Saccharomyces cerevisiae S288C: one gene and its partners. The protein of the gene in region 4 interacts with the protein of the main gene of each other region in a biochemical or structural test. Each region holds a gene or a part of one and is shown on either strand. Other genes may lie near its edges. The genes, in order: HMT1, MEX67, RSP5 and NPL3.

Region 1 (7,723 bases), on a different chromosome or scaffold from region 4:
GAAAAGGGCACGAAGCAAAGGAAGAAAGCCTCTCACGCTTGTGACCAATGTAGAAGGAAAAGAATCAAGTGCAGGTTTGATAAACATACCGGCGTATGTCAAGGGTGCTTAGAAGTCGGTGAAAAGTGTCAATTTATTAGAGTTCCATTGAAACGTGGTCCTGCAAAAAAAAGGGGCAGTGTAGTATCCATTGAAAAATTCAGCTCGGATAATGATCCTCTTCAATACCGACCAAGAACACATTCATACCCAATGAACTCGGGAAATAACTACTTACCATCACTCGCCAGGAATTCCTCTTTTCCTTCCATAAGCAGTCTATTTGTTCCCTCGATAACTGCTCAATCGCAACAATTTGTAAAGGTGCCGTACGATGACATCAAGCGTAGGAGCTCTCTGGCAATATTAGGCAGCGATTCATCGATATCTACCGAATTTGGGGGAAACTATCGCTTAGATGAAAACTTAAATGTCAGGCAAGAGGGGAAGGATATTGTAGCGAAAGGAATGATAACGCCCGTGGAGGAAATGGGCGCATGTTCATCTAACGTTCGTCGTCAGGGTTCACAATCTCTTCCAATTCAAGAACAGCGCGCTAGCCCGTACATTAACCCTTTTATCTCTGGGAGATCCAGGCTAAGCAGCCTTTCCTATACAAGTGAGGCTACAACTTCAGAAGGTAATACGCAAGGTAAAAACCAATGCATGCTTACTCCCAATAGTGTACGTTCCATTGAAAAGGAACGATTAAACTCGTTAACTGCGGGATTTCCGAACAAAAAATTAGGCACAGATGGTAGAAGTGACAAATGGGACAAAAATTCGACTTGGAAGCCTGTATATCGATCGTCGAATCCTTCTCATCCTAGCACTGAAAAAAATGTTTCCTTGAATCAGGAAGCCAGTGCTAAACCACTTATGCTTGGAACCTACAGACAGTTTGATGCAACCTCGTTCTACAAGGTTTTAGGCATCTACTATAACTTTTTCCATATTAATTTTCCTGTAATACCAATTAACAAAAGTAAATTTACTGACATGCTTGATCCTGAAAAGCCAAACGTGATTGATGAGATCAGACAAATTAACAATGAAATTATCCAGTGTTTTAAAACCGCGCTAGAGGTATTGGTATTTTGCAAAATAAAACAAAGAAGGTCATCGAAATCAACAAAATCATGGTCTCGTGACAGTTTATGCGATTTTCAAAAAGGTCTGTATTACATTCAGAATTTCAACAAATGTATAGCCGACTGCTTCCAAAGTTTAATAACTATAAAACCCGTATTAAAACAAAATTCCAGTGTTATTCCTTCAAGAATAAAGTTCATTTACTTTTCGACAATAATAGTGTTAAATTTTATCTTAATATTGGCCGGTGAGGAAAGCTCGCTTTTGCTAGGCCCCTCTGTTGGGGTTTTTAACGAATTTCAAGCTCATAAGTTATTTCTACCTTTTCAAAATACGTCCCCAATGCTATTATTAAATTCAAACGAGGAAAGTGGTGACGAGATACTGGATTATGCTGTGTTGTTCAAAAGGTTGTACATCCTTTTAAACATTCTGGATACGCTACAAAGCTTTCGGCTAGGTCAACCAAAATTAATTAATCTAAATTTTGGTAGCGCCATTGAAACATATTTTAGCGATAAAACAGGTCATAACCAAGTCGTCGAAAAAGCTCCCGTAGCTTTGGATAACATTCTACGAAACCTTAAACTTGGTGAATTTATAACATATTTTGTCCTTAACAGAAAATCATTGCAAGTAAATGTACCTCACCACTTGCTGTTCACAAATCAAACGGATTACGGAGAGTTCGCTGTTGAAAAAGGGGAACATGATAATATAGCTGGCAAATTTGAGACCCTTTTGAAGAAAAAGGAAATTTTAATCAGAAAATTACTAAATATTGAACAGAAAAATGACCATATTCTAGAAAATTGCTGCAATTCGGATGCTGAAATGAAAAATATCGGAGAGCTAGTCTGCTCAATGATCACTCTGGTATCAGGCATATTAGATTCAATTACTAATATGAACGCAGAAAACTCTGTTGATTTGGATTCAAAGCCCCTTCCGAACGCCTATTTTGCTCAGGACAGTGAAGAAGAATTAATGTCGCCAACACAAAGTATTACGTCAAATCTTGCCAGTGAAGAAAATACACGTTGCACAACCAAAGACTTGATGGGAACTGTTTCTATTTTCATGCTGCCAATGGTGGAAGAATGCTATAATATCATTAGTTTGATAGGACCCATACCTACCACATTAATAAGTTTATACATCCGTAATGGAAATATGGCCAAGGGAATAAATGACAGAATTATGACGTTGTCAACTGCGCTGAACGAATTGGTGCAAATAACCGCACTATTTAATACCCTAGAACCTTTTAGGAAGAATGCACATGACCGTGCTAAGCGTTACTATGTAAGTGCTACAAGTAGTACCGGATGCTACGAATCGGTAATGAAGAGCATGTATTCCGGAAAATGTGCAGCTAGTAACGCCTCAAACGTTGCGCCATCGGAGGAAGAAAACAAAAAGATATTGAAAAAGTTTGCCGACATAGGTTGGAAATTGATGGATGATTCAGAATTGGGTTGTTGCTGTTGCTTCTTTAACTAATATTCATGATAACAAGGTGAAAAATAGCATCCTAATGAAGGATAGATAAGTAGATTTTTTCTTTTAAAAACTATAGTACAAGGACATGCAAAGTCATATATCTAAACTAATTTTGGTACACGACCAACAAAAAAGGGTAACAAAGTACACATATTCGCGTCAATAATATGAACAAGTTTGTTTATTTGCTTTTCAAATTTTTTTCTTTCTCCAGCAAACAAAAGTCTTAATGCATTAAATAAGAACCTTCGTTTTTTCTGCTTCTTGAATTACCGTCGATGCCATTCGATTCGAACTTGTAAGAAATTTTGATATTTAGATCTCTGTTATTCTTCTCGTTTGGAGAGCAAACCAATTCACCTTCAATGGTGTCACCAGTTTCAGCATCTAGATCATCAGGGAAATAAAATATTGTTTGCTTCCAGTGAGTGTATGGAGCATGAGGACCAGTGGAGAACTCAACAGGTCTCTTACCCTTTGGTGCAGGGAAAACAATGTCGAACCAGGTGACTATACCATTAATCATATCTTGTCTCTTGGCCGTCAATTTAAAGTTACTCTTAAACGCTAGATCTGATATTTTTACTGTATTTAAATCAAATTCGATCAATTTGTCTGAGGTGGTGTTGACATTGTTTCTTTCCACGGTGTCGACGATGGGCTCGTGTAAGACCAACGGAACAAATGGCGAATAATCAAACCCGTAAACGTCTTGCCAGTAGTTCAACTTCTCGTCTTTATACTGAGAGTCTTCCAAACCGGCCAAATGAATGGAGCACTTGTCGGGAAAGATCAGACCGCCTTCTACCAAATAGTGGTCTCTAGCGTAAAGAACGGTGTCCATCATGGACTCGTATAGTAGAAAGTAACCCATCCATTCAGAAATTATGATGTCAACTTTAGGAAAGGGTAAATGAACGTCCTCCAACTTGCCTCTTAGCAAGGTGATCTTGTCGCTGAATCCGTTCAACTCTACCAATTCCTTCGCCATCTCAATAATGCTTGACATATCAACACCGATAACATGCTTCGCACCGTGTTTAGCGGCAAACATGGATAAAATACCGGTACCGCAACCGACGTCTAAAACAATCTTGTCCTTAAAAAGATCCTTATTTTGGATAATTGCGTTTCTGTAAGATAAGGTACGAACAGTATCTTGAAGCATCTCTTCGTGAATACCATAGTGATCGTACGAATTGAAGTAGTGCTGTTCGCTTTCACTTAGCTTGGTTTTTTCTGTAGCAGAATCTTTCACGGCTGTCTTGCTCATTATTTTCTTTGGATGAATTTGTCGGTTCTAACTCTTTTTTGGAAACGGCAAGGTGAGCAGTAGGCAGCTCATCTCTTCAACTATTTTTATAACATATAATTTCCCTTTGTGAAAAAATTTTCCCGCCATTTCCAAATTTCGGAATTCCTTTTTCTTTTTTTTCATCTCGGTATATTCTGACATATTACCCTATAGGCGGTATAAAAAGATTCATTATACAGTATAAAATAGAAAATGAGAGAATTATATGGTGTTAAATAGATCCTACATTGAATTTTTCATTAACAGTCCCTCATGGGGCTAGTCTAACGACTTTCCATGGATCGTTTTCTGTTTTTCTTCTGTAAACGAATCTATCATGCAATCTCGAGGGTCTACCTTGCCAGAACTCAATTTCCAGTGGAACGATTCTCAAGCCACCCCAATAATCTGGACATGGGATGTCTTCAGCATCCTTGAAACGTTCGGTGTTTTTTTGGGTCAACTCGTCTAGTTCTTCTCTGTTCTTGATAACATCCGATTGGCGGGAAGCCCATGCACCGATCTTGGATCCACGAGGTCTCGTCTTAAAGTATCTTTCAGAAGTTTCTCTGTTAACATGCTCTGTGATACCTTCAACTCTCACCTGCCTTTGCAGATCCTTCCAAAAGAATACGATTGCCGCATTCGGGTTGGTAGCAATATCATGAGCCTTTCTAGAGGTTCCCCAGTTAGAATAAATAGTAAAACCTCTATGGTCGAGCTCCTTAAAAAGAAGAATCCTGGACGACACCCTCCCACTAGGTAGTTCCGCGGATGAAAAAGTAATTGCTTCTGGCAACGTTTCCCTTGGGTCTTCCTTGGCTTCGTTGAACCATTTGGTGAAAAGATCGATTGGGTCGTCAGTAAGTTGTTTTTCATTCAAAGTAAATTTATCATATTGATACGTCTCAGGAGCAAATATGATTGGCTTTTGGGTCTCCTCAGCTTGTTTAGTCATTTTCAGTGCAGATCCGTGAAGTGTACTACTGGTCTAGGTAGAGTATCTTTAAAATATCTAATCATGCAAATTAGTCATTTCTTCTTTCTTATAAGTTGCGGCCCCTTCTAGTATTTACAATTTACCCGGCGCTGGTTCTGGTGGCATCTATAAGAGCTCTATCTGGCTGCTAAGCAGACTTGCTGTTACTTGTATGTGCTGTTTATCAAGATTGGGGCATTACGCATGTGTATGTGTGAACTACAGTAGTGTTATGAAATACAGCCTGAAAGACGAAAACTTCACAACGGAACTTAAGCGGTTCAATAAACATCTATCTGCCAGCTTAGAGAGACTACCCGTGGTAGAGAAAGACACGGGCAGCCAAAAATACTGGGTGTTGTATATTTACTTGTGTTAGTTTATAAATAAATTTTATATCACTATATGTGTGGTGAAAAGGAAGAGCAATCCTGCTAAAGCTTTTATATCTAAACGCCAAAAAAATAAAAAAAAAAGGAAATGGGAGAAAAGTTTTCAGCGCGCGAACTCGCGAAAAAACTTCCTCTTTAGCAATGGTGACATATAGATCTCAAGGTTCTCAATTAAAAGACCTTCTTTGTAGCTTTTAGTGTGATTTTTCTGGTTTGAGAATAAAACTAGAGAGGAAGATAGGTACCCTATGAAAATGTCAATGGCTGTTGCGTTTGCTTAATCGTATTTTTTTTTTTTTCAGTCCGTGTTTTTTGTACATTCTACGTTTGAGTTTTCCATCATGCAGGCCTCAGAAATTTGGTAGGCACTCGATGGTGAAGAGATAGTGTCGGATTTCGGATTGATCTTTCAGTTGATAGCCTGCTGCTCTTTTCTTTTCCAAAGAATTTCGAGTATGCTGGTGTCAGTGTAGATGCTTGTGTGTGCGCAATTTGTGGTTTTTTATTGTGTTTCTACTTATAGATGGCTAAAATCTGAGTTTAGAAAATGCAAACCGTAAATTCTTAAACACTGCTATTGCATTTAGTTGCTAAAGCAGTGTTTTTGAACTTATTCCTGTTATTCCTTCTTCGTACCGATCCTCTTCTCGACCTAACCTTTTAATTACCATGGGAAGCCTACCATCACCACACCCACACACAAATGTTACAGCTAATTGTTTATTAGCAAAGTTTGCACGAGTTCGCTGTTTATTTTTTTCTCGTTTTCTTATACCTAGTATTTTTTCTGACACTGTTTAAGGTGACAGAAAAAAAGGAGTTTAAGTTAGATTTGCAAACAGACGGTGCTAAGCGCTGTCACTTTATGTCTATCTTATCGTTAACTCTGGAAAAAGAAAAAGGAAAAAGAACGTCAGGGAACATGAGTATATATAGAAATGGTTTATTCTAGTTTTTTCCGTTTTTTCAGTAGATTTTTGCCTTTAAAAGAATAAATCCCACTACAAAAAGGTAAAATAAAAAATCTATTCACTGAACTTACTGATGAAATTTCCAAATGTGCCCCGTACATCGAACGATGTGACAGAGAAAAATACGAGTAGGTAAATAAGCCAAAAGGCAAGGGTGTCCTTTCTTAAGCATCGGTTAGGTTTGCGGGCGATCAGTAACTGAACAATGACACAAGATCAAGAACGTAATTTGAGATTTTTCAAGATGGTTTTTTTAGGTATCTATTAAAACTACTTTGATGATCAATACGGTATTTTTGTCGCATTATTTTCCAAGCGGAAGGAACCGTGTGTTCATTTTATGAATCTTGGTGTTGTATTCACAGCTACTTCTCCTAATGCCTTCGATGCATTTAGATAATTTTTGGAAACATTTTTTTTCTTGATGTATATTTTTTGTATTGTAGAAATCGCGCGTACTGTACTTGTATATCGCTTTATAAGCGCTTTTAATTGATTGTTCATGACGAGGATAGGCGGATAGGCGGAGGTATGCCTCTTAATATTTATAATAAAGCCCACCAAATGGCTTCTTCTTTTTAGAATATACAATATACAAATAAAAATAAAAAAATAGAAGAACATCCTAGTAATTGTCTTGAAAATAATCAAGATATTGATTGGGATTTTTTATTTAGGGAAACCAAATAATTGCATATGCTTGTTACATCATCATCAGTCATATAAAGTATGTTGTCCGTACTAATGGTGGTATTTACCTTCCCCGAGTGTTACTGATAGGACCAACAAACTTACCGTTAGCATTATGTATCCTATGACTTCCCATCTCACAATTGTGGTTTGCGTAGGTTCGCAAACCCACTCAGCTAACCCCATAAAGATAATAGCTCCCAGGTTGCACGTCGTCAAATACTCAGCAGGGGCCTTGCGATTCAACTCTAATATCGAAATCAAGCTCGGCAAGGAACCAAAGATAATCGAGCCTAGTAGAGAGAACCAAAAGCTCTTGTCATTATAGAACAACGAAATGGATTCCACAGACTCACGGGAGGGAAATTTAGGAATAAATGGCAAAAGTATTACCATGCCAATAATACCGATTAGGGCCATGTGGGTGCTCTGCTTAACCAAGACTACAGCAGAATTTTCGTTCTTGGAAATGTTACTGCAAAACCAACGGTTCCATAACACGGCAAAAGGACCCATAATCAAAGCACCAAGGCCGCAAATCAGAGCACCTTTCAACCTATCAAACAAGAATGGGTCAGAAAGTTCACCCGTGTTAGGGTTGACGGACAGCTTTCCGGCAAGCATGTCACAGGTAGCCTTCGTGTATGAGATGATCAAAATTCCAATGACCGCGTTCATCATGATGAGGAAATTACGGAAAACGTAGTTCTTCCTGGAGATTCCACAAACACCATATAGTAAAGTGACAATTTCGAAAATGGCA
Region 2 (8,152 bases), on a different chromosome or scaffold from region 4:
CGATCGAAGCACGTGATCAGTTTTCCACATCCGTGATTTGGCGCAAATTACCATGTGAGCGTGCGGGAATAAGCTCCTTTATTTGCGGAGCGACAAAGGAAACGAGACCATATTACCCTACCTTCCTTGTTTTATTTTACTTTTTTTTCTAATTTTAATTTTCTTCGTTCCTTCAACTGTATGTACCCTTTTTCTACCGGAAATAAGACGGTCGTAGTGTCCGCGTTTTTGGTTCTTTAACGACAAGACATCAGTGCCTTCTCGCATTTTTGTTGAATTGTATTGTATTATGCTCGATGTTTCCAGAACGATATATACATCTGAGAGTTTATATATCAACGATCATTTTCTTGTTGCAGTAAGCTATAATAGACGCGTCAAATAGTCTAACCAGTCTAAATCTCATCAGCCACACACACGTACATCGGAATATTATAGAGAACAAATGTCCTTCATTAAAAACTTGTTATTTGGAGGTGTTAAAACAAGTGAGGATCCAACCGGGCTCACAGGTAACGGGGCCTCAAACACAAACGATTCTAATAAAGGTAGTGAACCGGTAGTAGCGGGTAATTTCTTTCCTAGGACGCTTTCCAAATTTAACGGCCACGACGATGAAAAAATATTTATTGCTATTAGGGGCAAAGTATACGACTGCACAAGAGGGAGGCAGTTTTACGGTCCAAGCGGGCCATACACTAACTTTGCAGGCCATGATGCGTCGCGTGGTCTTGCATTGAACTCCTTCGATCTGGACGTTATTAAAGATTGGGATCAGCCTATCGATCCCTTAGATGATCTGACAAAAGAACAGATTGACGCACTGGATGAGTGGCAAGAGCATTTTGAGAATAAGTACCCATGCATTGGTACTCTGATTCCGGAGCCTGGCGTGAACGTATGACGATTGAGCTCCGCACATTATTTATTAATAGCAAACACCAAGGAAAGGGAAAAAGGAAGGGGCGTGGTGGACGATGATATATGTATACATATACATATCTATATTTTGAAAAAATCTTCTATATAACGGTTGTATAGAAATAATTACTTATTTATGAATTAGTACAAAATATACAAAGCATGCTGCTGTTCGGAACGTGACGAAAACAGTAGCTTAAACTGTATATTTTTTGTGATACTGTGCGGCTGAAACAGGGAACAATATCATTAGAACTGCACAAATGCTTCTCTAGGGATGCCATTCATGCTACTCTGAAAACCCTTTATGGCAACTTCATAGTTCCAGTTACTTTGCTCGGCCAACATAAACGTGTATTCTGCATTCAATTTCGTTTCCAAATGTAGTTTATTCAGCAGCTCGAGTTGTACGGGATTTAGCCGCGACTGGACATCTGGAGGTAGTTGCAAAGTGGGAGCCATGACCATGGCTCCTTGGGGTGCGCCGGGAATGCTCATCCCTCCTGGTACCACTGAAGGTTGTGGCTGCGGTGGTGTCGTTATATTTGGGTTCATGCTTGCGACCTGTGGTAGGACCGAGGCCTGTTGCTGTGGAGGCTGTGCTATTGCAATAGATGCAGTTTTCCAAGCGCCTGTGGAATACGCTCTTACAGTTAACAGATCAGATGCGATTATGACACTATTATTCATTGGAACAATTACCCAGGTTCTATCAAAGGATTTTTTGGATAACTTATTATTTGATGTGGAGTTGTAACCATGATTGTATCTTCTATTCTTTTGATAGTTATTTTTCCCCGTTTTTTTATTGGATTCCAGTTCAGGCTTGCCAGTCTCTTCAAAAAATCCGTGCAACGTAATAACGAACCCATTTATTTGAGGATAACTAATTGTTTCCATTGAGTATTCATTGGGTTGTTCTTGTAAATGGTGCTTTGTTTTCGGCAAAGTCTTGAATATACTATTAATGGACTCTTGCCCGATTGACAATCTCTGCTGGATAGATTTTTCACTGGACACTTTGGATATATTACGTGAGGACGACATGTAATAACCAAATGCTGGAGTTTGGTCCGAATCTGTTACCGTAGATGGAGGAATAGTAGAATCCACGGAAACAGAAAACTGGGATTGGGGCGAATACAAATTTAACAGTTGTTCTCTATTATTATCCCATAGATTCAAAAAGTTAGTTGCAAAGTCTGTAGATGATTGCCCTAATGCATCGTTTTCGAAAAAAAACTGTTGAATCTTCATCGGTAATGAGTAAACGGTTTGCAATTTTTGTTCGTCTCTCACAATCACGTTATCTAGTACAACCAATTTCGGAAATAATCTTAACATTTCAGTGCGATACAACTTATCGGTGGTTATCGGGTTATTTGTCATCAAAAGCTCTCTTAGATCTTTGAATTTGTTCTTCCAAACTTCTAGCGATCTAAATCTAAAAATCTGATTGTTGGCCAGACAGAGGTTTTTCAAATTAGGAAATGTTTGAGCCAATGTGGAAATTGCTGAGATGTCCTTAAGTTGGTTGTCAGCAAGATTGACACTTTCCACTATCAAACTTTTTTCTGTAGAAGCCAGTTTCATCATTGCTGGAAACATCTTAGACTGGGTGGAGATGGAACTAAAGACGCCCTTTTGAATTAGCTCGGGATCTGAATGTAAAGCGCCCAAATTTAGTAATTTTGTTTGTGGGTCATACCTCTTAAGGAGCACCCCCCTCAAGAACGAAATGGTGTCTGAAGTTCCCGCAGAGGCCCCATTGTTATCTAAAAGTTCGAACTTTAAATTACTGCCTGCAAACCGGACACCGTTCCATTTCATTAACGATTCTGCTTCTGCCTTTGAGTTGACATATCCAATAACTAAAGGTCCTTCCACATGAGCGTCATAAACAGCTACTCGAGCGTTGCGGCTTATAAAATTAATCAAATCGTTCATGGTTGCATTCTGCCAGTTCCTCACGCTAATCTTTATTCTATTTTGTTGCATCTGCTGTTGAGCCATCATATTGATATTTCCAACATTGTGAAATCCGCTCATTTTTTTTGCTGCTATTAGCGATGCAGAATTTTTAACGATTTATTTTACTCTTCCTTCTTAGAGTAAGTATGTCTTCAACAGTCTGTTACTATTTTTTTTTCTACATACTCAATTCAGCTCTTACTGAAATTTTCTTCTGGAAAAAAAAGGAAGACGGGTAATGATGATCTTATATAACAGTATAATCTGTAGGTATATTTATCGTTAGAATCCTCTACGAAAGGCAAGTGGGCATGGATTTCTAGCTTTTGAAGCCGCGTTTAAGTTTCTTCAGAATTAATATTCGTAGAAATTTTCTGTTCTTTGCTTCTTTTCTGAGCTTTGGTGGAATAAACTTGGTTCCATTCAACTTAAAGGAAGGAGGAAGTACTGTTCAAAATGACAGTTTTATACACATCTGCATCGCTGAAAAAAATGAAGTGCTTGGCATTCAACATGGGCATGAATTGCGTACGAACAGTATCTCATGCAAGAAGTGGAGGTGCAAAATTTGGAGGACGGAATGTATTTAATATATTTGACTCAAAAACTCCTGATTCAGTGCGTATAAAGGCCTTCAAAAACACAATATACCAGTCTGCCATGGGCAAAGGTAAGACCAAGTTTTCTGCAATGGAAATTAATCTCATAACAAGTCTAGTGCGCGGATATAAAGGAGAAGGTAAGAAGAACGCGATAAATCCTCTCCAAACTAACGTGCAAATTCTTAACAAATTATTACTAACACATCGATTAACAGACAAAGACATATTAGAAGGAATGAACCTGGCAGCCGGTCCTGTCAATGTTGCTATTCCTCGAGACATAACACCGCAGGAAGAAAAGAAGAAAGTTGAACTAAGAAATCGAAAAGCAGAGAATATGGATCTTCACCCGAGCAGGAAGATGCATATTAAGGAACTTCTACACTCTTTGAACTTAGATATGTGTAATGATGAGGAGGTTTATCAGAAAATATCACTTTACTTACAGAAAAATGAGGAAAGCAGGACTTCAGTGGGTGCCTCGCAACAAAACCACGTAGATATCGATATAAACTCCCTAAAACGCTATCTACAAAATATTGAAAAGAAGGCACGTCAAAAAAGTGCCATCGATAAACAAAAAAAGAATCAAGCTCGTATATATCAATGGAATACTCAATCCTTCTCCGAAATAGTACCCTTATCAGCTGGAAATATCTTATTCAAAAGGGAACCCAATCGCTTATGGAAACGTTTACAAAATGGAATAAGTGTATTTTTAGGTTCAAACGGAGGAGGAAAAAAGAGTAAAACTACTAAAAAAGTACTTCAAGGGAATAACATATTGTTACACTCATTAGAAAACAATAAGGATATGACCCTGTCAAACAACTTTGATCACAGTGTCTTTAACATCAATTTTACGGACTTATTTGGCGTTATTAATGCATCTGGGTCCCCACCAGATAGAGTTTTGAACGAAATTAATGAGATCGAATTAAAAGGTTGGAAATGTGTGGGGAACTTATACGATAATAATAAAATTGTAGTTTTTCAAAGTAGCAATCCACTCTTAGAGGATACGAAGATTCCTCAAAAGTCTTTCACTAATTCAAAGAGATTCCTTATTTCACTCTCAGCATTGCTGGCCTCCTTTTTTGCATATTATAGATACCGTCTATCTCAACGTCAAGAATCAAAGAAATGATTTTTTTCTTTCTTGTATATAACAACGTTATACATAGAAACAAATAACTACTCATCATTTTGCGAGACATATCTGTGTCTAGATTACCAATCATTTAGAGATATTAATGCTTCTTCCCTTTGAACAGATTGATTATCTCTCAAGTATCTTTCTGCTTTGACACGAGAGTAAAATACTGGACAGTCATATGAATTGCATTTACTAGCTATATGGTCATTTTCGATGCCTGCATCGGAAGTGTAACGATAACTGCACGTCCTGCACACGGTCTTTAGTGTTTGGTATTCTTTTTGTCTCTTTAATTTCTTTATGAGAAATGATAAGGTTGTGGTGCTTCTTTTCTCTAAACAGTCATCACATAACTGAAGTGAACATATTTTAGTCAATTCTTCACCACAATTACAACATGTTGCAGAAGTTCCTACTCTTGTTATGTTTTCCACTTTTGTAGTAGTTGTGCTCGCCCTTTTGGATTTTACTATTTCCTGAGCCCAGTTGCCAACATTTATACCAATCAAATTGAACAATCTATCAAGAGGAGGTATCAGAATTTTGTTTATATAATACTCCGAATCTAACTCTAAATTCTCACCTTCTAAGAACTCTTCTGGTGATACGCATCTTTCCCGAAGCAGTTGTCCTTGCTTTCCTTTAACAACAAGGTAAGGTATACGCTCCTTGTATTGGGGTTCTGCTCTATGGTCTTCATTTATTCTTCTTTTTACAACCACGGCACCTGCAGGGGCTGTCTTTTCGCTTTTATACGCTCCTAATTTAACTTCTTTTGCAAAACAAAAATCTTGGGCAGATACCTTTCCTATTTGAATCTTAAAAAATTCATTTTGAAGATACTTTTTTATTTTTGACAGGTCTTTGGTTTGAAAAAGTAATCGAATACATTTTTCAATAATCTTCTGCTGGGCTGGGATACCATCCCTTCTAACAGTTTCAATACCCTTAGCATCAAAAATAGGAAGGGTCTGCGAAGGACTTTCATAGGAAAATCCTACGTACCTTTTTTTGCTAATTAATATGGAGGGATGGTATACTTTTTCAAACTTCAAAAAGATTGGTTTTGGATTGTTTTGAGTAACTCTTTCTGCCATAGCATGTCCTATAGAAAAAGCCTCAATAGCAGTTTTTCCAGGTAGATATACAAATAAACTATCTGTGTCTCCATAGACAACTTTGGCGTTCCAAGTTTCATCTTTCTCAATAATATCTATTGCTTTCTCCAATGTTTCTCTGCCTGTTTGTACAATGCTATCAGCTAAATCAGAGCATGGCATTCGTCCAGAAAATGAAGCTGATGTATAACCGTAGGTGACATTCGCCAATAATTTTAGTGCTAACTGTTTGTTATTCAAAAGCCTTTTTAGGGTAGTGTTGTCATCACCTATTTCGTTCATTGTTTTCTTTATCATCACTCTGACATCAAGGATATCTGTTAACATTTTGGATAACGTTGATTTTCTAACAGAGGTCTTGGCATAAACAACACCATTTGGAGCGATAGTTACATCATTTTTTAATAAAGCTAAAATGTTTCTTGGTAATGAAAACTTAGATACTCCAAGGTTATTTTCCGTTAAGTTTATTTCTCGCACTCTTCCTATCATAGTCGAATAGCAATAGTTGTATCCAATCATAATGGATGGATACAATGATTGGAAATCCAGCACAATTAAAGGACTTTTGTAGAAAGCAGATTCTGGCTCCATAACCAAAGGCACACATTCAAGTGCTTTTTGCTTACGAACATCCTTTTTGCCTGGAGAAAGAAGGATAAAACTTTCGGACTTGCATATTCGGATTAAAAAAGACTCAACTTTAAATTGTGATCCTCTGTAATATACAGAATGGAAATCTATTCCTATCAATCTTGCCTGTTCGATATTTCGAGCAATGTAATCCTGCTTTCTTAATAGTTGTATATTTATCTGAGCTCTTGATAACCAATAATTTAACACAGTCTTTAATTCGGTTGTGCTCTTTTTAGCGTTCCACATATTAGTTAATGACTCAAATGAAAAGTGAGGTAATCGTTTATGGAGGATATTGAACGCAGCACTTTCAATAGTATATTGCGTTAAATTTACGTCGGACCTCAACGCTCTCCATATATTAATCATATGTCTTCCGGTAATCATAATTCCTGAGGAATGGGCATATCCCCAAGTATCTGACAACTTCGTCTTAATTTGGCATTTGACTCTGGCAAGTTCCCTGACAATGTCAAATTGATGTATTTTTTGACACCTTTCAATTATATAACCCCACGAAAAATTATGTATTTCGAAACCGGAAAGAATATCAGGATCAAGAAGTAATACCAAATCAGTTAGAGCCTCAAACATTTCAAATTCACTTTCATAGAACATCACGGGAATTTCGTTAATACAATGTTGAATTTTAGTAGGAAATGTACTATCCTCAGAAGCTTTGTGGACTATCATAATCCCTTCGTAAGCGATATCCAAATCTAAAGGGAAAGTTTCTTCTTCAAGACACCATATAATCATGGAAACTTCATCTATTGCAGGGTCTGGAATTTTATCACTTCTCGTGTTTGCATGAATCTCAAGTGTCAGATGAGTAAGAGAATCGTGAACGCTACTTTTTTTTCTTTTTTGTTTTCCAGAAACGTCACTAGCAAATTTGTATAAAAACTTACTATGAGGGGTGTGCATGCTTATCTGAGACTCAGTTTTTTTGTTTCCCATCGAGGGTACTTTATTGTACCATTTTTGAACAGCATCATACGTAGGTGGTTTTAACGCATATTTCCAGGAGGAAAACATGTCGAAAGTTGGCTTGTTATAAACTGATACGGTCTCTCCCCCAAATTGGACGGGTATTCTCGTTGATACATGTGTCGAGCTTATTTCAAACCTCTTACCTGCGTACGCGTAAGGTTTATTTTCTAGATCAACTGGATTCGAAAAGAAAGGGTCCTTATAGTCTATTTTTGGGAATCCCTCGTCTTCCAATTTATTCAGAATATCTTGATAACCGAAAGGAGGCTCACCATAAACAAAGGCTCTTTTTCCATAGCGTAATCCCGCAGCCATAACCTTCTTTCTTTTCCGAGACAGCAACGATGTTTTATTAGCAGAAACAGATGATCTAAGTTTTCGTTTACTTGCCATATTTTGCGTCATAGCACAATCCATTGAAAAATTTATCGTATTGTGATATTTTGTTTGATGATCTAATAGTATAGTAGAATCTTTCGGAGACGCAATGCTTTCCGGTAACCATGAATAAGACCGAGACTTTATATTGCTTCCTTTTACACCTTCGTTCTCATTATCAACACCACATATCTCGTATTCGGTGAACGATGCATTAACTTGGTCGTCGTTCTTTTTATCTTGCATACTATTATTGTTTATTTCAATCTGTGGAAGCCTTGGCCACAATTGCGGTAATGCTTCATAGGGCGTATTTATGGCTGAGAATTTTTGATTCTTATCTATAAAGTTCTCAAAATTTGGTATTTGACCATCAA
Region 3 (9,008 bases), on a different chromosome or scaffold from region 4:
TGGCCTGTATGCTATTTCATCCTCACTAGACTCATCATCTTCGCTATCGTCGTTGCCGCTATGATTCACTAAGGTAGATTTTTCCAGTGCACGCTTCTCAGCGTCTTTATATTCCTTTTCCATTTTCACATATGCTCTAGTCAGCTTGTCCAATTGGTAAGCCAACTTTTTTTCTAGTGGTTTAACACCACGCTCTAATACCACACGGTGTTGAATAGAGCGTTCACGTGCATCCATAGCAGAAGGATCTTTGCACTCGTCGTCTAGCCTATTGCCTATAAGCATCAATAGAGAATTTATGTACCCTAGCATGCTCCCATTTTTTAAGGATAGCAGCGATACTTTCTCAGCAGGCTTCTTAGCGTCGTAAAATAGATGCTCATGTAGTTGGTTACTTTCAGGAATCTCATCGGTCGCAGAATTACTATAAATCCCAGACAACCTCTCCAAGGATTCTGATGTCGCAGTGAGCGAGCCGTTGATATCTTTTAATAATGCATTAAGTTCAGACATTCTTGGATTTGTGTGTTAGTTGACAATTTTAATTTCTTCATCTCTTTTGACACTTTAGAATGGTATAGCTCATCGGTTTCTTTTCTTCAACCTTGCAGGAAAGGCGTAAAAAATTTTATGTCGTCGGCAACGGTTCTAGTAACAATCCGATGAAAAATTTTCCGGACAGCGATGAGATGCACTTTTAAGACAATTGAATGGATTAGGTATCAGTTAGAGAAGAACTTGGTTTTCGTATCTGGCGTTTTTATCTTTAGTCAGTAGTCAGTCTCGTATCAATACTGATATATACAACGAAACAATGCCTCAAAACGATTATATCGAGCGTCACATCAAACAGCATGGTAAAAGATTAGATCACGAAGAAAGGAAACGTAAGAGAGAGGCAAGAGAGTCTCATAAGATTTCTGAACGGGCCCAGAAGTTGACTGGTTGGAAGGGTAAGCAATTTGCTAAGAAGAGATATGCTGAAAAGGTATCAATGAGAAAGAAGATTAAGGCACATGAACAATCTAAGGTCAAGGGTTCATCCAAACCATTGGATACCGATGGTGATGCTTTGCCGACATATCTATTGGACAGAGAACAAAATAACACAGCCAAAGCTATTTCTTCATCGATCAAACAAAAGAGGTTGGAAAAAGCTGATAAGTTTTCAGTTCCGTTACCAAAGGTTCGTGGTATAAGTGAAGAAGAAATGTTCAAAGTTATTAAAACAGGTAAATCTAGATCCAAGTCATGGAAGAGAATGATAACGAAACACACTTTTGTGGGTGAAGGTTTCACTAGAAGACCAGTTAAAATGGAAAGAATCATCAGACCAAGTGCGTTGAGACAGAAAAAGGCAAACGTCACTCATCCGGAATTAGGTGTAACTGTCTTCTTGCCAATTTTGGCAGTTAAGAAGAATCCACAATCTCCAATGTACACTCAGTTAGGTGTTTTGACTAAAGGTACCATTATTGAAGTTAACGTTTCGGAATTGGGGATGGTTACTGCTGGTGGTAAAGTTGTCTGGGGTAAGTATGCTCAGGTCACAAACGAACCAGACAGAGACGGCTGTGTCAATGCGGTTTTGCTTGTATGAGCAAAAAAGTGCTCCGTTTTTTTTTTTTTTATCTCGATGGTTCAAATTAGGTTTACTTTTAATTTAATAATACGATATACGTCTACAAGCACAAAAGAACAGGTATATAAAAAATGTACGCTCTGTCCTGTTCGGGTTTCTCTTTTTACTTCTCGTCATTCTCTGTACAATATAACAAATCAAGAATTTATTATCCGGTTCTTTTTTCCTCACGACAAATAACCGATACTCTCCGTGTGTAGGTGACTGGCAAGAGAGGGATTGCCTAGTACGCTCGTTTCAAGTATGTACCTCACGAGAGCAATTTCAACTGTAGTATAATACCCAGGTCACTATTCAGTTTTAAAATGCAAGAAAATTAAAAAACAAAAAACGTATGGTTGTAAAAAGCAGGGCACATTATATGTATATAAATAAAAAAAAAAATTAATAAAATCTAAAAAGAGGATATAAAAAATAAGAGGCGTAAGGCAATATAAATTATTGGTATCATGCTCCTTTTGAAAAGGAAAACCTCCTCTTATGGCGAACTTGAAAAGAACTTTGCGTAATCATCAAAAAAAGCACTTCACGTTTTCCTGCATTTTCTTTGCTGCTTTCCATGTTGCTGTAAAAACAACAATGATTAATCATTTCATGAGCAACTCAGATAAAATTAACAAAAAAGAGTTTTCTCTTTACTATTGTTAGCTGAAATATAAAACAAGATGATTGAGGCAGAAAGAATGTTGGGAAAACGGACACCATAAATAAAAAAAAAATTGGTGCGGAATAATCATTCTTGACCAAACCCTATGGTTTCTTCCACGGCCAATGTTAGCTTCTGTTTCATGCTGTCATAATCAACGTATTGTGGCAAATCAACTCTGTTAAAACATGTGTGAGATTTTGGCAATTGTTGTACTTCACCAGCTTTTTCAATAGTGAATCTTCTTGGACCATCAGAGCCTTGCAAATCTTTAAACCCGTTGACAGGTATACGAGAAGTACCAGTGGTGAACTGCAATAAACGGGCTCTTTGTTCATTATCCCATTCACTGACACACTTCCAAAACCATTGAATGACCTCGTCTGACTCTTGGTAACCACGATAATCAGTGTGTTTCTTCCAATCTTCAATGTCAATTTCCGCAATACCACCGATCAATAGTTCTAGTTCACGCTCATCAAACACAGTTACTAAGTCTTCGGGGATTAATTCGTTAAAACCATCCATGAATGCCTTAAATTGTTCTTGAACTCTATCAACAATTCTCCATTGGGTATATAATTCGACATATTCTTTCTTATTACCATCAGTAACTTCAATATTTCTCCCATCTGGCTTCAAATCCACTGTTACAACTTCACCGAATCTTTCATCGTCGGCACTGAACGTCAGATCCAAGACACCATCTATACTATTCTCAAGCATCCAGTTTAATGAGTTATACACCTCTGCGTCAACACCTTCCATATCTTGCAATACGACTTTTTTACGTAGCATCATTTTGTAAAGTGCACCTACAAAGAATGCATCCAAAAATCTTCTATGGAAAACACCAAGACCCACAACTCTACCAATGAATTTGAAATAGTTCAAATGTTCGGGGTTGATGCCACTGTTAGGATTTATTTGAATGGTATAGTTGTCATACGCAGAATATTCAAACAAACAATAAAATGGATTAAACATCTCATGTGATAATAAAAAGAAAAATTCTCTGGAAACACCACCGTAATCTAAACCTTCCTCACCATCAAACTTGATCATTAATCTTTTCTTTAAATCTTCTGGGGTTTGTCTCATAATTTCTTGATAAGCATCCTCAAAAATGTTCTTTCTACGTACTTTAATATGACATTGTCCCGGCAATATTCTAAGAGCGGGCTGGGACCTGAAATAAATAACCTTACGTCTGAAGTCACGCTTGTATTGTGGAACATTTTGGTCTAGCGATGATGGAAGTCTTGGGTCATCCCAGGTCGTTGTTTTTGTATTGTGGTCAACGAAATATACACGTGCCGTATTGGTCAATCTCATTTCCCATCCAGAAGGCAAAGGACCTAATTGGGAGACCGGTTGTTGCTGAATGGTGGTATTTGTAGGGCCATAAGTACGTATATACTGTTGTCTCCTTGGATCCACCCAAGTGGTTGTTCTAGTATTATGGTCAACGAAATAAGCTCTTCCTTCTGGAGTAAATCGCTGCTCCCAGCCTGAAGGTAATTCGCCTAAACCAGATGTGGTACCACCTGTAGCTGCAAACGCTGCTGCTGCTGCACCATTAACAGGAGGTATATTGGAACCACCTCCCACTTGAACTGTTACAGAGGAATTATCTGATGATCCACCAGGTAAAGTTCTTCCCCTATGCTGCCTTCTCTCTAACTCAGTATTTGCATTTAATTGGTTGCCACGTTCGGCTTCTGTTTGATCGAGCGTTGGACGTTTCCAAGTGGTAGTCCTTGTGTTATGATCGACGTAATATGTACGACCAAAGTTATCGGTCCTTCTCTCCCAACCAGGGGGTAAACGACCATACTGGTCTTCAAACGAAGAGTATTGTCTGGTAGCACTGGATGTGGAATTGGTGGAACGGTGACTGGTTGTTGCCGTATTAGTAGCAGCTGTTGTACCGCTTTGAAGAGTTGATTCTACTGCTTGCGCGGTGCCTCTGGAAGGATGAGACGTTGAATGATTACGGGTGGAGGAAGTAGAATGACCATTTGTTCGAGTAGTTGAACTTGTATTCGTACTAGAAGATGCAGTATGGCCAGAAGGAGCTTGTGAATGCGGACTTGACGAAGGTAGTTTTGATAAAACAACAATCAACCTACCGCTGACGGCCATTCCGTCATTAGATTTTTTTAAATCACGAGTAATAGTTTCTTCGCGAGGTCTACCACTCGATGTAGCAGTATCTTCATCCAAATGGCCCAAAACATCACCCACGCGGACGTTAACCACGCCAAGAAACCCTTGATCCTTCTTTTTAAATTTCTTTTGATCAAAGACTTGGATGGTTAAAATAGAATTTTCATTGATATCGTCGAATTTGAAAGTCTCATTCCAGTAGGGATTTAACGTTTTCTTCGCTGCGGATGTAGATTTGGTTTGGTAACCATCAATAGTCAGAACAGCAAACGGATCCGGGGAACGGAATACGTCCCTCTTATATAATGACTCTGCAGCCACTAACTTGACGGATATGGATGAAGGCATTTTTTTTCTTTTTTCTTTCCTTTCTGTTACTTTAAATATAATACCCAAGCTAACAAAGAAAAGGGAATAAGAAAAGGGGAAAATAGTTTTTGGTAAATTTATCGAACTAAAAACGCACTAAGAAAAAGCTGTGGCTTATGAAAGTGAAAGTCGAATAACACTATATTCGGTAGTTCCAACTAAAAGGTACTTACACACAAAAACAAGCAATTATTTCCTGCTGTTTTATTTGCTACGCACTCACTCTTCTAAAGAAGGACTGAACTGAAATTTTGACTCACTTGCAAAATGTGCTTCACGAATTATAGTAACAAGTCCAAAACTGTGGAAAAAACTGACAGCGCTTATTATCTTATAATCGTTTTTGTTTAACGAAAAAGTCGACTCTTGTAGCTCTAACGAAGAAAATGGAAAACAGCCTCAAAACACAACAAAGTCCTTTTATCAATTAGCAGATGCGATACTCGAGTACCCTAAAAATGGTTAAGCGTATGTCTTTTAATTGTCGAGATAGAAGCCCCCTCCCCCGCCAGCAAAAAATATTACCTTTCACCATGAAGATCACTGCAATTTGGTCTTTACCAAAAATTTCCACTAAATTTTTGTTTTTTCCCCTTTCTCGTATAATGTCATTATGTACGTAAGATCACATGATCGTATACTGTCACGTGACTGTGCGGCTGGTCTGCGCCAGCAATTTTTTTTTTCTGCTCTCAAATGTAAACAAACCAGCAGTCTGTTTTCTAAACAAATAAACATTAAAAGGTAAACAATACCAAATAATAATAGCAGCGTCAAAGCTACATTCTCAGTTCTCAAAGCTATTGTGTTGATTTCTATGTATGATTCAATGCCGGCATGATGTTAAATTTGCTGGTTTACTGAATAAGGCTTGGTTCATAACCAATTTGTAGTCATGACGACATAGCTGGGTGGGTGCTTACTGGTTTACATAAATAAGTGCGTAAACGTTTTACAATATATAAAAAGGTAGAAATATCTCTCCCAAGCTTTCCTCAAACTATCTTTTGGCTTCTTCTTCTTGCATGACTTCCAAATTTTAATCTGTGTTTGCTAAAAAATTTGATTGTAGGTGTGATAGTGAGAGTGACACGTATTAATATTATGCAAGATACCAAATACTACGAACCAACAAATATTTTTCGTCAGCCTGCTATTAATATAAAGAAGAGATCAGATAAAAAGAGGATTTTACAATCGATGATGACTTTATCCACATACAAAAAAACGTGGCAAAACAATACTTCGAAAATGAATTCACCGATTTTGCGAAAAGCATCAGACAACTTCAATGACTATTATACAACTAAAAAATTAAAATCAGATTATTGGAAACTGTACGGTGTTGATGAAAGTGAGTTATCCATACCTTCAGACATGTCCATTGTGGATAATATACTTCTAGTATCTACAATGAACGAGAAAGACAACTTGAAACTTTTTGAAATTTCCGCTGAGAAAAAGCTGAAGGAACTACAGACGATTACTGTTCCCGGTAAACCCATTACTTGTATCTGCTTATTGCCCATGGTAGATTTTCCGCCACAGATTTTCCCCAGCTCTCAAATAAATCCTAACCACAACCAATTAATATTGACAGGTCATCAAGACGGTATAGTCAATCTGATAGCAACTTCAACATATAAGGGATGTGCTAAAATAATAAAAAGGTTTAACCACAACAAGTTTCTAAAATCTACCGTATCAACGTCGATTCCGATTCTGGAAATAACGCCAAAAACAGCACCTATTTTGAAGGTTTCGCCATGGAACAAGACCGGTTTTGTTTCCCTTCTAAATGACTCCCTCTTTATATATGACTTGAAATCAAATCTTGATTGCATAAAAACACCTATTTTTTTGCAATCATATCCAGGTATAAATTCTTTTGCCGTTAATGAATTCCATGATCCCTTCTTACTGGCCTTAGTTGGCTCAAAATTTGGACCAAATGGCATCTCGCTGCTTGATTTGAGAACAAATCTCTATATTCCAGATATTTTAGATAATAGCATATCTGCAGGATGTGGAAAAGACCATTTGCAAAGAAAGAACACAAGTTTGGATTGCGTATGGATAAGTAATCATCACGTTGCACAGAGCTTGAACGATAAAATTCAAATTTGGGACATTCAATCCTGCGACGGTAAACCAGTTTGTGAATTATATGCTAAGAAAGGATACATTGAAAGTCTAAAATTTAACGAAAACACAGGCGCGTTATATAGCAGTGATGACCAAGGCTTTGTCATTTGTTGGGATTTACAAAACCTACAAAACATGAAATATGGTGAGTTAGTCCATGGATTTAACTCAATTAGCCTAGATAGTGAAAGTGAACTACTATTAACCAAGCAAGTCTTCCAATGTGGAAACATTATTGTGAGTGGTATGAGTGATAAAAATATTTGCTTGAAGAGCAATGACACTAAGGCCAATGGAAAAGGATGTGGATTTTTATTCCTTGATATGGCAAACGATGGAAGTTTAGTAACTCTTGACAATTTTTGTGAACTGGGATTACATCAAATTTGTCAAGTTCAATTCAATGTCGATACCGGTAAAATAATCGATGGTAATGGTACTGGGAAGAGTGGAATATCTGATTCTTCTATGTTATCATTATCCAATGAGAGTGACCATAGTATGACAGAAACATCTGATGATATGTTCTCAAATTCTGGTAATTGGGATTGTTCTTCAGCAAATACTGTTAGCGAAGGTAGATTGAATGATGACCAAGAGGATATCGTCTTCACAAAGAGGATGTATTCTGTAAATGATGTGCATTTAAGTGGATCTACTATTGATACTACTGTTGTCTAGTTTCCTTGAGTGCTTTCAAATAAAAACAAATAACATATCAATGAATCAAAGTAACATTTCTTTGAAGATAATTTCTTTGTCTGTCACTCAGAATGCCCTTTATTACTAACGACCATCCTCCTTGATGAAGGTGAAAATCAATAAAATTCAAATTGTGACCCAAGTCCAGTCAGTGGATCCTTCTGGTAACACAAGTATTCGGTTTTTTTTTTTTCTCCATGATCTGTATGTTTTACTAAGCTTTGAATTTTTCTTACACAATGTATATATATATATATGTGTGTGTATATCAAAACAGCGCGCGTAATTGTATGTAGCATTTAGAATCAAGTTCAATGCCGAAATTTGTTATGGTTGCCTACGTTTTTTTGGCTTCTTAATTTAATATCAAAATCTTCACGATATGCATTCATTCTCAAGTTTGTAATTGTGCATTTTTTTATATATAGTCCCGCTCTCAAGTGAATTAGAAAAGTAAAGTATACACGCAAAACAAGGGCGTAAATAAAAGAAAACGAAAAAGCAACTAAATAAAAGCTTACATCCAAGTATCAAAGAAGTCGCTCACGGTTTCTCCAATTCTTGAACCTTGATTAATCATAAATTACATATTATTTTGGATATTCTTAAAAAAATGCTATAATAGTGCTTGAAGATAGATTTAGCACACCAAAAACATACCGGGATTAATATATATGTGCGTGTAGTCTTTTGATAAAGGAATATACAGAAGGAAAACGATTACGATGCTGACTATGTCTCATTTTCTTCTTTTTCCTGTTTCTTTACCCTCTCCGGAATTCAATTATTGTAGATGATAAAATAAAGGGTAACAGAGAGAAAGAGAAACAAAATAATACATTATTGGAAAGTCATAAATTGGGAAAGAGCGGCATAAGGAAACAGCCAATCAAAAAAAAAAAGGAAAAAGAGAAAAGTATAAAAATCGCTTTATCAACAGCAACAAAAACAGCAACAACAATATTTGTATATTTTAGAACAAAATGTATCATTCTCGTCATCAGAATAAGCATCATTTTCTTGTTCGTAATTTCGTTGACTTTGATAATTGATATTCTTATTTGCAAGGTTTGTGTAGTGGTTTGGTAAGTTGTGCTCATTATTACTTCTTTTAGGGTTAGCTTTAGAACTTGAATATGGTACAAATGGTGAATTTTGTGTATGACTGATGGAGTCGTACGTTTGACTTTGACTTTTAATTGGCCGTTGAAGATTTGAATGTGTTTCAGGAATATATTTACTATTGGGTTCGATTTTTTTCAAGACGTGTTGTTGTTTAGTAAAGCTCTGCGGGTTCGAAGAAATTCTGGATTTCGAATTGTCCTTGTTATAACT
Region 4 (7,715 bases):
AGATTTATGGACTTTTTCCAATACTTTAACCTCTTTTACTTTCTGAGTAATCTTATACTTGACACCGTCTTCAATCTTGTATGTAATGATAGATCTAGATCCATCTGCATTCTCTATGATCTCCTCTGGTGCAACTTCACTCATTATTCCTGGTGGTCTTTGGTCTTTTGATCCTTTCAATACAGCGAGTAACTAGGGCTTCTCTTCCCTCTCTTTTGCCATCGTGATAATTTTTCACTTTCCACACTCAGTGAAAGAAAAAAATTTTAACTTCGTTACAAGCGATGAGTATAGATCGGCAAGAAACTTTGAAGCAGTATATTTACAGGATTAAATTATATATCTACAGTTCCTTCACCTCCCAATTTGGTGAAACAGTCTTCCCCTCGATTCCAGGTCCAATGACCGTACTCACCCCTTCTTTGTTTAGTAGATATTTTTCGGCGACTCTATGAACGTCCAGGAGAGATACGTCTAAGAGTTGTTCCCTTCTTGCTTGTTTCATATCGTCTGTAACACCGCTCATGAAATACGTCACGCCTTCTCCTTTGGGACTTTTAGGTGCGTCTACTTGTTGAAATATTGTCAATTTAGCTTCATCAAGGTCTGTGACGCCCCACTTGGCATCGTTCAGTATATAACGCCCGCTATTCTTGAAGGTTTCTAAACTCTTCAAAGGCTGAGGATCCCTATAGGAATAGAAACTGAAAATACCCGCTAAGGCGCTATAAGAAGCACCACCACCATAAGCACCACCCTTTTCTCTGACTTCTCTGTGCAAATGTTTGAATGTTAGCATATTTGACATAACTTGAAGTGCAGAGCCATCCTTATGTGTATACGGCACACCCAATAAAGCTTGGGATGTGTAATGGACCTGGAAAGGAAATTTTATCAAAGTATGTTTACATTTGGATCCAATAAGAGGATAATCTGAAGTCTTTGGTCCATTGGGCAAGCAGCTGCCATGAGGTAATCTCTCCATGAATTTTGAAATTTGGCTTTCTACTGTTTTCGCTTGAACATCAGAGTCTGAGGTGATAAAAAAATTCATGTTATTGGTATCAACAATGTACTTTTGCAATTCAGTTAGCTTGTCGACAACTTCTCTTTGGAAAGTTTCTTCATTGTCTAACAAGCTGTGCAATCTATTTATAAATTGTAGTTGCTCAATACCATTGAGGGTCTCATTTATAGCTCCACTTGATCTATAATGTGCGGCAGAATAGCCCCTTGCAAATGCATGACCGGCATCTGCTACAGAAGATGTGTTTGAAGATGCTAATAAGCGGATAAGAACTTTCAATTTATCGCTGTTTTTATGGAAATCAGTTTCTAGTAAGATCTTAGACCAGAATTCAAAAATGTGGTCGGTCTTCGAATTTAAAGACCATCCGTCAAACCCGAAAATCAGGCGAGGCTCTGTGGTGTTAGGGTCAGATGTAACCTCTACATGTGTTGATATACCACCCGTATGTAATTTTATCTGATCTTCTATTTCACTGAAGGATTCTGTTGTTGTCCCTAGGTTAGTTAACGATTCAGCAAATAAAGGTAAGTATGGGAAGAGTTCAAAGGGTATTATGTCATTTAGTAAACGTTTACCTCTGACATATGTGATACCATTGGTATCAGTAATCCTAGACATTGTATTATTCTTCTGTTCGATTGAATATTTATCACCAGCTCTTGGGATGTCTTTTATTTGTAAGGTAGGTAAACAGGATAAATCTTCTTTTTCATTTTGTTTCTCCTGTAACAGTATACCACGTTTAAAGATGTTTTTCTTGTCTTGTTCATCCAAGGCAGTAATTTTTTCTCTCAGTCTTGTTTGTTCTTCATCATCCAAAGATTTAGAGAACTCTTCAGATCCCTGAATGGAAAACGTGAAACAAGGTTTATGAACGATATATTTACGGATTAAATCTTGGAATAAAGTATCACCTTTCGTTTCTAAGTCACCTCTAAATCTTTGCAAAACGTCCTCAAACAACAAGCTCTCAAAAGGATCGATTTTGTTTGTCCAACCAGGTAGTATAGAATAGAGTAATTGAAGTCCAAAGTCAGCCTTTTGATCCTTCTTAGATAATTCCAATTGTTCAATTATGGCATCGATACGCTTGCGGTCAAAAGGATGTTCTGTTTCCAACAGGTTTTGAAAAATATTATTTACAGTGTCTTTAAATATTTCAATATCACTCACGCCCTGTATACCAACAGTTAGCAAATTTACTGCTGTAGTTGGTTCAACACCTGAATTTACGGAGAACTCCAAACCAATTCCTGATTCTATTAATTTTTGATACATTACAGAAGAATGGCCATCCATTAATAAATTCCCCAGTACTTTTAACAAAAAGGTATCATATGTGTCCTGTGGCGCTCCACAAATCCACGTCATTGAGGCTTTTGTCTGCTTCTCCGGTGGAAGCATAGTATCTATTTGACCCAGTAACTTGACATCTATGTCTTTTTTTAAATCAATAGGCATTAACAACTTATCCTTTCGAGCTCTCTTCCCGTAACCACTGAACTGCTCATTTAATTGCTTTAACGTATCCACCAATGGCAAGTTACCGTACGTGAAAGTTTTTGCATTGGAGGGATGGTAATTTTTGTGATGGAAATCCAAGAGATCGCCGTATCTCAAGTCTGTAATTTTCATAGGATCTCCGCCGGAGTTATTCAGGGAAGGATAAATAGACTGTTGAAATTTACTCCAGAAATAGTAATTGGCATTTGATATTTGACCTTTCATTTCGTTATAGACAACACCTTTGAAAACAATGTTACTCTCCGGGTCTGTGATGTTTTTATGCTCCAACCTCCAACCCTCCTGATCAAAATCTTCTTGTTTAAGTAGCGGATTCAAGGTGGAGTCTAAATAAACACCTCTTAAATTAGCGAAATCTTGAGGGTTCGTAGTGGAAAAGGGAAAAAATGTATAATCTGGACCTGTCATAGCGTTCATGAAATTAGCTAGAGATTTATTTAGCATTTTGAAAAAAGGGTCCCTAACTGGATATTTAACAGACCCACACAACGTTGTATGCTCTAGAATATGAGGGACCCCAGTGGAATCTGGAGGGTTGGTTTTAAAAGCAATGCTGAACACATTATTCTTGTCGTCTCTATCAATATGCAAATGCTCGGCTCCTGTCTGGGAGTGCACCAAATCTACCGCAGTGAGTCTCAGCTCCGGAACCGGTAGAATTCTTCTCACTTCATAACCATGGAATATACCTCCAACTGGATATTTTCTAACGGCCTGTGCTTGGGCATACGAGGACGCAAATCGCTGAAACCGCAACATATATACCGCAGTATATTTTATAGTAACTTTATTCTTTTGAGTAGCCTTCTAATTGGTGGCTTATTGATTACAATTGCTTGTTATCATATCTGTCAATGCTTGTTCAACAATTCAATGATTTACTACTACCTTTATCATAGAGCCCCTCCGTATATTTATCACTGTAAACGAAGGGCAAAATTTTTTACATTCTTTTTTTTCGCCACCCAAAGGGATTTAAAAAGGACATGAGAAAAATAATTTCCTCTCTTCTAAATATATATACTTTTGAAGGAATCAAAATTAAGCAATTACGCTAAAACCATAAGGATAATGTCTGAAGCTCAAGAAACTCACGTAGAGCAACTACCAGAATCTGTTGTCGATGCCCCAGTCGAAGAACAGCACCAAGAACCACCACAGGCTCCAGATGCTCCACAAGAACCACAAGTTCCACAGGAATCTGCTCCACAGGAATCTGCTCCACAAGAACCACCAGCTCCACAAGAACAAAATGACGTTCCTCCACCATCTAATGCTCCAATTTATGAAGGCGAAGAATCCCACAGTGTCCAAGACTACCAAGAGGCCCACCAGCACCACCAACCACCTGAACCCCAACCATATTATCCTCCTCCTCCTCCAGGTGAACACATGCACGGTCGCCCACCAATGCACCACCGTCAAGAAGGAGAACTCTCGAACACCAGATTGTTTGTTAGACCTTTCCCATTGGACGTTCAAGAATCCGAGTTGAATGAAATCTTTGGTCCATTTGGACCAATGAAGGAAGTCAAGATCTTGAACGGCTTCGCGTTTGTTGAATTTGAAGAAGCAGAATCCGCTGCCAAAGCCATTGAAGAAGTTCACGGTAAGAGTTTTGCTAACCAACCTTTGGAAGTTGTTTACTCTAAATTGCCTGCCAAGAGATACCGTATCACCATGAAAAACTTACCAGAAGGTTGTTCATGGCAAGATCTTAAAGATTTAGCCAGGGAAAATAGTTTAGAAACTACTTTTTCTAGCGTCAATACCAGAGATTTTGATGGTACCGGTGCTCTAGAATTCCCTAGTGAAGAAATCTTGGTCGAAGCTTTGGAGAGATTAAACAATATTGAATTCAGAGGTTCTGTCATTACTGTTGAAAGAGATGACAATCCTCCACCAATCAGAAGATCAAATAGAGGTGGCTTCAGAGGTCGCGGCGGCTTCAGAGGCGGCTTCAGAGGTGGCTTCAGAGGCGGTTTCTCCAGAGGCGGCTTCGGTGGCCCCAGAGGTGGATTTGGTGGTCCAAGAGGTGGTTACGGTGGCTATTCCAGAGGTGGCTACGGTGGCTACTCCAGAGGCGGATATGGTGGCTCCAGAGGTGGTTACGATAGTCCTAGAGGTGGTTACGATAGTCCAAGAGGTGGTTATTCCAGAGGTGGCTATGGTGGTCCAAGAAATGATTACGGTCCTCCAAGAGGTAGCTACGGTGGTTCAAGAGGTGGTTATGATGGTCCAAGAGGCGATTATGGTCCTCCAAGAGATGCATACAGAACCAGAGATGCTCCACGTGAAAGATCACCAACCAGGTAAGCCATTTATATAGTTGAGAAAAAAAAAGGAGAAATTAACAAAAGATATGAATTGTTTTAAAACTTAAATATGAGACTGAGAACAAATGAAAAAGGAAAACATCGTATTAAATGTTGAAAAAGTTTTTTTTTTGAAGAACTTCCTCCCCATTCCCTCCCCTCCCTTTTATTAAGTATAGTTTTTGTTTATTAATAAGTTTAGTGTTAGAAGATCCCAAAGTATATGATTGAAAACAGAATTGTTTATTGCGAGTCCCGACTTCACTCCAGTAGATAGAATAATCCCATGATAACATTTAACATCCTTTTTACAACGGAATTTCATTTCCAAATTGATGAGTCGTTAAAACTTCTGTATTGGATTTTAATTAGACCTTCTTTCGTGTAATACTACTACTACTACCTCTAGATTCTTATGTGTCTTTCAATTTTTTTTATTTCCCTGCACCAAACTATCTTTTATTGAATGGAATGTGCTGCAAAATTAACAAAAATAAGTTTTACTTAAAGTTTCTAACGAGAATCTCCTCTTCAACATACGGGCAGGATAATATAATTGACTATACTGATAATGAACCCCGTTTTTTGTTATCTTGTGAGATAACTCAGTGGAAACTTGATCTAGCAGTAGACCAGTTTCCCCTCCCCCAATTAATACTAGAAAGTTGAGAAACTACAGAAATCTTGTAATTTAACCATTTTTTTGTCCCAAGCCGATCTATTTTGGATATCTTATTGTCATTTTTCAAGTGAAAAAAGGTCTCCCTTTCTATACGAGAGTTCTCATATGGAATGAGAGAATAAGCGGTAAGATATCGAACATTCACAAGAAATAAAGTACCAGTTAAGAGGTGCAATTGAATATATACAATATCCTATCATCTTAGTCCTTTGAGTATGCAAAAAGCTACAAATATAGTTGTTAGTTTGGGTCAGGCTAATTTCAAAGAATTTGAACTCCTATAAAGTTAAGTTGAAGAAACTAATAAGTACTATTATGGCCTGTTAAATCTGTGTTACGTATTAAATGATGTGTAATCCAGAAGTTATAAATAATGAAAGATGTCCTTACGTGGAGCTTAATAACAGAGATACAAAGTTTAAAAGGGAACTCGTGTACTAATTGAAGTGTGTACGTGTGCATTAATATTAATAAGGGATAAATAACGATAAAAGAGCCGCTCTTTGATAAGGATTACACGCCAGAATAATGTCCAATGCAAATCTAAGAAAATGGGTTGGTTTTTGCTTTGTTGCCATTTATCTCTTTTTAGGTGTTCCACTGTGGTACAAGCTAACTACAGTTTATAGAGCATCACTACCAATAAATTACATTGAGTCACTTCAAAATAACAAATTCCAAGATATTCATCTCGTAATACCGGTGTATGTTAAGTCAGATACTTACAGATTTCCTGACGTTCATGACGCTATCCAAGTACAAGTTAACCATTTATTGAATTCTCAGGAGCAACGGGTCCCTTGGTCTTTACAAGTTCTTCCATATAATGAGACTATTGAGCAGATGGAAAGTGAAGGCAACCAGTTTCATGTCGTTACTTTGAAGTTAGACGAATTTATTGGTTACTCATCAGCTTACGACACCAAAGAAACACTAGTATATTACGACGATGCTGCCGTTTTAAGTAATGATCTACCGTTTTTTGTTGCTCAAACATTGGTAGAGCACACTTTCCAATTGGAATGGACGCATTTGAATAAAACGTGTGAAGGCGTTTCTACAAACAACGATGTCGCAATATCTTATGATCCAAACATTCATTTAAGTGTAACTTTATTGTCAGGTGATGGGAATCCTGTTGCATGGGAAATTGAGCCTACATTAACTGACTACTTTTCACCTTTTAGGAAGTTCTTATCACCACTGGTAAATTTTACAGTAGATTCATCCATTGTTTATCATAATGATTTGAATTTGCATTCATTAAATGGATCATGTACAAGCGTTACGTGGTTTGATCTCTCTCATACTATTGATCTTTCTGAACTTTCTTCAATGGCCTATTACCCAGAAGATTCTGCACTGAATTTAGCCATAGTCTTTCCTAGTGCTTCTTCAAGTCCCGATGGTCTGGCGTTCATTAATGGCACTCGGATTTCAGACGAAATAACCACATTAGATTGGAATAGTTATCTAGTTCCTCAATGGGGGGTTATAATAATAAATAAAATGCCGTTGAAGCCAAATTCAGTCATTAGCGAAGATTATTTAGAACCTATGATGTACCGTTTTGCGACAGATATTTTTCAACTATTGGGATTAACGGAGGGCTCGCAAGATTTGTTATCACCTTATATTACCATAGATTCATTCAAAAGGTTGACAATTTTACAGAATCTAGATAAAGCTACGGAAACATTATGGTCGTTAGTGAAATTAACTCAACAATTTCAGGGCATGTCTATCCCACGCGAAGTATCGGATAATGTTATCGAAGCTTTAGACTTAAGGCTACAGATTATTGATTTATTAAATGATCCTGGAAAGGGTGGAGATATCGTCTGGAACAATGCCCTGCATCTAAGTAATGAATTGGTTAAACTATGCGAAAAGGCATTTTTCAATGGAGAAATGGTTCAACAAAATTTCTTCCCACAAGAGCACATGATAGCTGTGTATTTACCTTTATTAGGCCCAATATCGGCAGTCATGTTCTTTGGTTTCTACAACGTGATGAAGGAAAAGAATCAAAAGAGTAAAAAGAATGGAACCGAGAGAGAAGTTGCTAAAGAAAAATTAGAGTTGAAAGAGGCTCAAAAATTACATGCTATTGATGGTGAAGATGAATTATGAGTTGATAACTAAACTACAATTACCAATATTT

Evidence for each region.
Region 1: of the proteins of NPL3 (region 4) and HMT1, one has a biochemical effect on the other in vitro, tested with the Saccharomyces cerevisiae proteins (12 studies listed by BioGRID, with this or other methods).
Region 2: the proteins of NPL3 (region 4) and MEX67 form a complex in vitro, tested with the Saccharomyces cerevisiae proteins (2 studies listed by BioGRID).
Region 3: the proteins of NPL3 (region 4) and RSP5 form a complex in vitro, tested with the Saccharomyces cerevisiae proteins (2 studies listed by BioGRID, with this or other methods).

The regions. Positions count from the first base shown.
Region 1 is NC_001134.8:302,070-309,792, forward strand, and holds HMT1 (protein-arginine omega-N methyltransferase HMT1), read right to left. Parts: upstream 3,908-7,723; coding exon 2,861-3,907; downstream 1-2,860. Other genes in the region: EDS1 (Eds1p), read left to right, coding at 1-2,634; pyridoxamine-phosphate oxidase PDX3, read right to left, coding at 4,200-4,886; CSG2 (mannosylinositol phosphorylceramide synthase regulatory subunit), read right to left, coding at 7,012-7,723. UniProt on the Saccharomyces cerevisiae protein: S-adenosyl-L-methionine-dependent protein-arginine N-methyltransferase that catalyzes both the mono- and asymmetric (type I) dimethylation of the guanidino nitrogens of arginine residues in a variety of RNA-binding proteins such as heterogeneous nuclear ribonucleoproteins (hnRNPs) and small nuclear ribonucleoproteins (snRNPs).
Region 2 is NC_001148.4:227,869-236,020, forward strand, and holds MEX67 (Mex67p), read right to left. Parts: upstream 2,971-8,152; coding exon 1,171-2,970; downstream 1-1,170. Other genes in the region: DAP1 (Dap1p), read left to right, coding at 446-904; MRX4 (Mrx4p), read left to right, coding at 3,349-4,641; REV3 (DNA-directed DNA polymerase), read right to left, coding at 4,725-8,152. UniProt on the Saccharomyces cerevisiae protein: Involved in the export of mRNA from the nucleus to the cytoplasm.
Region 3 is NC_001137.3:405,986-414,993, reverse strand, and holds RSP5 (NEDD4 family E3 ubiquitin-protein ligase), read right to left. Parts: upstream 4,806-9,008; coding exon 2,376-4,805; downstream 1-2,375. Other genes in the region: small subunit rRNA maturation protein LCP5, read right to left, coding at 1-513; rRNA-processing protein NSA2, read left to right, coding at 815-1,600; DSE1 (Dse1p), read left to right, coding at 5,931-7,652; casein kinase YCK3, read right to left, coding at 8,607-9,008. UniProt on the Saccharomyces cerevisiae protein: E3 ubiquitin-protein ligase which accepts ubiquitin from an E2 ubiquitin-conjugating enzyme in the form of a thioester and then directly transfers the ubiquitin to targeted substrates.
Region 4 is NC_001136.10:1,325,158-1,332,872, forward strand, and holds NPL3 (mRNA-binding protein NPL3), read left to right. Parts: upstream 1-3,625; coding exon 3,626-4,870; downstream 4,871-7,715. Other genes in the region: TIF35 (translation initiation factor eIF3 core subunit g), read right to left, coding at 1-144; CYM1 (pitrilysin family metalloprotease), read right to left, coding at 344-3,313; GPI-anchor transamidase GPI17, read left to right, coding at 6,080-7,684. UniProt on the Saccharomyces cerevisiae protein: Involved in mRNA processing and export. Required for efficient splicing of a large set of pre-mRNAs by efficient co-transcriptional recruitment of the splicing machinery. Remains associated with the mRNP during early steps of translation elongation.